2 linked regions of the Xenopus tropicalis genome follow. The protein of the gene in region 2 interacts with the protein of the main gene of each other region in a biochemical or structural test. Links are inferred from orthologs where the notes say so. Each region holds a gene or a part of one and is shown on either strand. Other genes may lie near its edges.

What was found.
Region 1: the proteins of cdc27 (region 2) and securin form a complex in vitro, tested with the Homo sapiens proteins (3 studies listed by BioGRID). The link is inferred for Xenopus tropicalis from reciprocal best matches to the Homo sapiens genes CDC27 and PTTG1.

The regions. Positions count from the first base shown.
Region 1 is NC_030680.2:46,734,255-46,737,915, forward strand, and holds part of securin, read right to left. Parts: intron 2,742-3,661; coding exon 2,583-2,741; intron 1-2,582. UniProt on the Homo sapiens protein: Regulatory protein, which plays a central role in chromosome stability, in the p53/TP53 pathway, and DNA repair. Probably acts by blocking the action of key proteins.
Region 2 is NC_030686.2:17,336,883-17,340,643, reverse strand, and holds the start of cdc27 (cell division cycle protein 27 homolog), read left to right. Parts: upstream 1-1,160; 5' UTR 1,161-1,288; coding exon 1,289-1,315; intron 1,316-3,761. UniProt on the Homo sapiens protein: Component of the anaphase promoting complex/cyclosome (APC/C), a cell cycle-regulated E3 ubiquitin ligase that controls progression through mitosis and the G1 phase of the cell cycle.

The DNA of each region.
Region 1 (3,661 bases), on a different chromosome or scaffold from region 2:
ATCACTTCTATACATTAATAAAAACATATCTATATTATAGAAATAGGAATAAACAGATTTAAAATAAATAGCATTACCAGACTCAGGCAGCAGGTCTCTTCCAACTGATGTCTTTCTGGGCAGCTCCCCCCTCCTCCCCCTCCCTGTGCAAGCTCAGCCAGAGTGCTCAGATCACACAGGCTACAAAACACAGCAGGAGATAAGTCCTCCGTCACCCTTCCCTCTCCCTGATCCAGCAAGAAAATAAAGCCATTAATCACTGGCAAGACAGATTCTGAAAGCGAAGCGGGGAAATTAACTTCTGGTTTAAAGCGGAAGTCAAGCAGCCGCCGTATTGCCGTTTTCACTATGTCCTATGCATCACTGGTAATGTTATTTATTCTATGCCTAGTTATAATATTGCAGTTTCTATATGGTATGTGTTAAATAAAGTGTCTAGAAGGGATATTTGAAACAATAAATTTTGGTGTTACTGTTCCTTTAAGTCATAACAGAATTCTGGGAAGAAATTCCTTAAGGCTCCTAGAAAAGTCCCATTTACATGGGCTTGTCCTACAGGCTAAAGCTCACCCACTGGGTTTAAAGCAGAAGCCAGGATAATAGCTGATCAGCTATTAAGGGGTTTGTTATAGTACATTTTTTTCCCTCTTTAAAAAAACCCGCAGAATAAAATCCCTTAGTTCAAATCTCCAGCACCTTGACTGCATAACTCACTGAAAACAAACAAAACATGTACTTATGAAAGTGCTTCACAAGCTGAAAGCCAATGTACCTAAATCCAGGGATGCACCAAATACACTTTTTTGGATTTGGCCAAACCCAGAATCCCTTGTAAAGGAGTCGATCAAATACCAAACAGAATCCTAATTAGCATATGCTATTAGGTTATGGAAGGGTTACATTTTCAAAACCACTCAACTTTGTCACATAAACGGATTCGGTTCGGCCAGGAGCATGGATTCGGCTGAATCCGAATCCTGCAAAAAACAAAAAAACTGAATCTTGGCCAAATCCTGAACCCTGGATTCGGTGCATCCCTATATAAATCACAATTCATATCTGTTGAAAGTCTCATACCAGCATTCCCCGTTTGAAGATACCTAAATTGTTCTAAAATGTACAAAAAAAATTGCAATATGACCGTTCAGTGAGTAAAGGTGCCCATACACTATAAGACCTGCTCGCTTGGCGATGTCGCCAAGCGAGCGGATCTTCACCCGATATCCCCACCTACGGGTGGGTGATATTGGGTAGCAAGGGACTTAAAAAAAAAAAATCCGATCATTTGGCCCTGGGGCCAAACGATCGGATTACATTTGAGCTTATGGGGCAGTCGGTTCGGGGACCGCATCAACGAGCCGATGCGGTCCCCGATCCAACCGGATTTTCTAACCTGGCCGATCGAGATCTGGCCAATTTCAGGCCAGATATCAGTCGGCCAGGCAGCTCTGTTGTGCCCATACATGGGCCGATTAGCTGCCGAAATCGGTCCAAGGGACCGATATCGGCAGCTATAGTCGGCTCGTGTATGGGGACCTTTATAGTTACCCACCACAGTTGAATCAAAGATGCAAGTGCAAGCACAATCCATTAACAGTGATTTAATCCAGTTCTAAAAAAATTATGCACGAGCACAGATTGTTGAAAACTTGCAGCATAAGTTGACTTTGGATTCTTTTAAACACTAAGTTCTGCACTATAGTACTATTGAAATATATAATCACAAGCTTTTAATATTTGCTGATAGTGGTAAAATCAATGTTTTAGAATGGGATTAAATCACATTAATTAAGATTCCTTTTATTGTTTTCGATTGCTTGCACCTTTAATTGATTCAACTGTGGTGTTGAACTCACTACACTGTCAAATTGCACATTTTTAGAACAATTTATAGGTATCTTAACAGAATGCTGCTATGAGGTTTTCAACAAATATGAATTGTGATTTGGTTACACAGACCATTTGTGAAGCACTTTCGCATTTATGTGTATTCAGTGTCAGACATCAGTGAAAACAGAACAAAAAAAAAAAAAAAAAGACACACTGCTGCACAGTGGAGCAGGAGCAAGTGTGCAAAGCTTCTTCTCAGTCAGGCATGCCCAGAAGGCTTTCTATTAAGTATTATGTAGTCTTAACTATTATGTAGTCAAAGAGATGAGCACTCAGCAGGAGGGGGCAGGCCTTGCACTGTACCAGGAAGTAGATGAAAGGAGAGGCTGGAGATTTATAATTTAGAAACCAGATCAGACTGAATGCAGAGTCTAAGGTATGTTATTGTGGGGGGTTGGGTTCTAAGACATCAAACAATTGATTCGGATGATTAGCCATTAGTTTCTCTTTACACCTACTGTATACTCTTTACTCCTGATTAATACACCCAGCACCGAACCGTTAAAGTGAAGACCAGTGGGACAATGACTAATGGACCCAGCTTCCACATAACCATTCCAGAATATTGAATGTTAGAAAAGATTAAACAATGTTTATGAACTTCAAAGAGCCATTTCCCCTTTCACCGACTAGTTTCAGAAGTCTGATCAAGCATAGATCACAAAATGCCAAAGACCTCGCTATAAACTGACCTGAATCCGTGTTAAATAATGGCATCTCTAATGGACACAGCTGAATATTTGTTAAGGCATCAAACCTTACAACTTCATTATCCTGAACCAGGAGTGACACACCTGCTAAGCAAAAGTGACTGAGTTTATGGTCTTCTGGAATATCAAAACTCTCAAAGTCTGCAAGGAAACAATATCCAAAAGTTATTTGCAAAGCACTACATATTTAGAGAAAGTCATCTCTGCAGATCTGATTTTGGAAAGAAGTGGTTGATGCCTTGAAGTCCTCATCCTTAGCTAGCATTTTCGTTTCCTGTTCAACTCCGTGCATGAGTACATGCTGCAGCACTTGCTTTACAAGGAATGCCATTTATAAACAAATGCATTTAGTGTACTGCAATATTGGTCACCATTTTACTTCCCTTATGGAAGCCAAATGCATATCTACACAGTGAACCACATAATAAGTCAGTTATGCAAGGGATAACGCATTTACACACACAGGATTAGAAAATACATATCACAGGGCTATATAGTAAAAATACATATGTTTCAGAATAATATTTTTTCACAAAAAGCAAGTAACATCAAAAGTAAAATTCAAACCATGTGTGTTAAATAAAAGATCCAATATACTTCGCTTATGGAGAAGGGTAAGGGTATCTCCTCCTCTCCTGCCTTTTTACCAGTTCCATCACCTGTACCGAAATTTATCGCTATTATTGCACTCTGCAATGTCTAGTGACATTGCTCTTGAATGCATAACTTATTACAAATTTGACCAATGTGTTCTCTAACTTTGTCTTTCAGGGCTCGCATTGAACACCCCACATTGTTTTTGCAGTTTTGGCAAGTCCCCAAATATATTACTGCTGTACTATTACAATTAATAAAACTTCCTATTTCAGCACTAAAAATGTTCTGAAAAGGTAACCCTCGGCTTATACTCGAGTATATGGATGTGCTGACTCTGGCTCGTTGAATGCCAGAGTCAGCACATCCATGTGCACAATGAGCGTTACATCTGTACATCCAGAGTCAGAGTCGGCAGGTATGCACGGACACACGTCCGTCCACAGGGAGGAGGGTAGGAGAGTGGG
Region 2 (3,761 bases):
CAGTACAAGTGAGGGAATACAGGGGTAGGGGGATAGCTCTCAGTACAAGTGAGGGAATACAGGGGTAGGGGAGATAGCTCTCAGTACAAGTGAGGGAATACAGGGGTAGGGGAGATAGCTCTCAGTACAAGTGAGGGAATACAGGGGTAGGGGAGATAGCTCTCAGTACAAGTGAGGGAATACAGGGTTATGGGAGATAGCTCTCAGTACAAGTTGATCCAGGGACTGGTCCGATTGCCATCTTGGAGTCAGTAAGGAATTTTTTCACCTCTGCGGCAAATTAGAGAGGCTTCAGATGTTTTTTTTTGCCTTCCTCTGGATCAACTAGAAGTTAGGCAGGTTATATATAGGCATTATGGTTGAACGTGATGGACGTATGTCTTTTTTCAACCTAACTTACTATGTTACTATGTAATGAAGACCAACTGCAAAGTTGCTATGAACAGGACATTCTATAACATATTAAAATGTAACTTAATGGTGAACCAGCCCATTCACTAGGGCTCTTGCACACAAGGGGTTTGTCATGCGTTCCACTGTGGTGGCTCTTTCGTGGTGTTCGACCACAAGGGAATGCATGAGTCTATGTTTTACTGTATGCTTGTTTTGCGCTGCTTGGAACCACCAAACGCAGGTGGAACTCATACAGAAATGCTTGTAAAAGCCCTTAAAACCCACCCATGCTTGGCAGTATTAGACAGAAGTGTTATGATTAGGTGTTTCAGCTAATACTTGTTCCTACTGCTTGCCGGGCAGGCACCATACCAAGAATAAAAAACAGCTATAATGACTGCCTCGGTATGAGAACATTGCCCACTGTACTCCTACCCATGCTGTGTTACTCCCTGCAAGCTTAACACTGTACAGACAAACGCTACAAAGCAAATGCAAAAGTGATTTTCTAACATAACTAGAGATTTATCACAAACAATAAAATTTTTATTCATTTAACCCCCGGGAAAAACAATCAGCAGGATGAGCTCTCCTTTCTTACCGCCAGATGGCGCCTGCTCCGACTCAATGAATTGAGAGTTTTGAATTCGTCTTTCTTCGGAAAGGTTCGGCTGGTTCCTTCGATTCTACTGTGGATTCGTAGGGGCTCGGCATTCTCCGCAAACGTTCGGCGGTTTACGCTTCTATTCGGCAATCTCCGGCGGCCTCCCCGGTAACGGTCGCTGTGAGTTTAAATGAGCCGGAGCCGCCTGTCTGACGTCTTGAGAGTAGCTGGGGAGAGCGGTCCCGACAGCGGGAGAGAGACCTAGACGGGAGGCCGCAGTAAGGCCGGAGGATGACAGTACTGCAGGAACCCGTCCAGGTATGCGCGCACCCGGCACGTCTGACTGCTCAACACTGAGGCCTAAGGCCTAGAAGGGGGAGGGAATGGAATTCTAGACAGATGAAGGGATAGCCGGGCATTTAGGTGGCATGGGCAGGGGTAATAGAGGTAGGCAAGGGCCCCGGGATGAGGGTTGTAGATATAATGGGCGGTGCAGAAAAACTGCATTGAGGAAATCTGACTGGCAGAATGTTGTGGCACATAATAAGGGGCAAATGCATAAAGAAACAGTAGGCATAGAGGGAGACATGACTAGGTTGCCATAAATAGACCAATAGTATGACATGGGCAAACACTGGCACACATGGGGACAAACACTGGCACAGCCTAAAATGGTGACATGTAAAAAGGGAACACTGGCCTAAATGGGTTCGAAAAGGAGACATTGGGAAGAGGCACATTGCCATAAATGGGGAGACACAGGAGACCTGGGCAAGGTATATTATGATGAGAGGAAAAAGGGCATACTAGTATAAGCTACGCAGTGGCATGAATGGGAAGAGGCACACTGGCATAAATGGGGAGACCTGGGCAAGGTATATTATGATGAGAGGAAAAAGGGCATACTAGTATAAGCTATACAGTGGCATGAATGGGAAGAGGCACACTGGCATAAATGGGGAGACCTGGGCAAGGTATATTATGATGAGAGGAAAAAGGGCATACTAGTATAAGCTATACAGTGGCATGAATGGGAATAGGCACACTGGCATAAATGGGGAGACCTGGGCAAGGTATATTATGATGAGAGGAAAAAGGGCATACTAGTATATGCTACGTAGTGGCATGAATGGGAATAGGCACACTGGCATAAATGGGGAGACCTGGGCAAGGTATATTATGATGAGAGGAAAAAGGGCATACTAGTATATGCTACGTAGTAGCGTGAATGGGAATAGGCTCACTGGCATAAATGGGGAGACCTGGGCAAGGTATATTATGATGAGAGGAAAAAGGGCATACTAGTATAAGCTATGCAGTGGCATGAATGGGAAGAGGCACCCTGGCATAAATGCAAAGTATATAGAAGAGATAGGCAAGGCTTGTTATAACAAGAGAGAACACTGGCATTAAGCATACATTGGGAGATAAGTAGGCCTGGGCACTGCATGTTATAGTAAGAGGGAAAAAAAGAGGCAGACACACAGTGCCATAAATGGGGCAAGAGGAGAGGAGGGGAGAGAATGGTTGCATGGCCAAAGTATGATATGACCAGAGAGAACTCTGTCATGATGCGACACCTCAATGAGGGAAAATTGAAACATTGACAAGCGTCGATAGTTGTATATAGAGCAGGGGTCTCAAACTCGCGGCCCGCGGGCCATTTGCGGCCCTCGGTACAATATTTTGTGGCCCACACCAATGCCTTCGCAAAAGCAATGAATGGATCATGATTTTTATTGCGATTCAAGGGATAATGCAAGGCACGGCGGGCGGGAGCTGCTGATTGCGGAAATGACGTTATGCCATCATAACAGTTATTATGGGAAGACGTTCTGTGTGCACAATTAGCTCCTTAGTTAGCAGCTAATTGTGCACACAGAACGTCTTCCCATAATAACTGTTATGATGGCATAACGTCATTTCCGCAATCAGCAGCTCCCGCCCGCCGTGCCTTGCATTATCCGATAAAAAAGTCCATGAAGGCTTGCATTTTGTGAAATCCCTTATGCGGCCCAGCCTCATCCTGACTTTGCCTCCTGCGGCCCCCAGGTAAATTGAGTTTGAGCCCCCTGATATAGAGAGAGGAATTTTTAGGCAAGGTATAAAATTGTCAGATGGAGAAAGGGGACACGACGAGTGATATGAGGCATGGATTGGCATTAATTGGAGAGAGTGGACACGTGAATAAAAGGCATAGACTGGTTTGGGTGAGGGAAAAGAGACTTTGCACACTAGCATTGAGACATAATTAAGTGGGATACAATGGCATAAATGGGCAGAATGAAGTTATGGAACTTGGCATGCACTAGCCTTTGTAGGAGTAGAAAGCAGGTGTGGGCAAGATACATTCCCTGACAACTTTGGGCAGGCATAAATGTAGGCAAAGCGTAGAATGATACCAAGCAAAAGGAAACCGGCATACATGGTATAGCAAGCAGTAGGAACTGCAAGGGTAGGGATCATGATTGTTTGGGAACTGTAGGGATGGGAGGCAAGAGTTTATGGAAACTACGTCTCTTCTTACATGGGATGAAGGCTTGTGCAAGAGGGTTAGTAGAAAAGCTGGTGTAGTTAGATTTGAGTGATAGAATGACTTTGAGAACATGCCAGCGACTCTTCCTTCTGCCTATGGAATAAAGGACTGGCCAGATCTAGAAGGAGAACCACCAACTGGACCACATGTTACTCTGTTTGCTCATGTTGTTCTGTATGTTGCACTGACTGTGGGACCTGCTAAGGAATTGTAGTTGCCAGAAGGTTT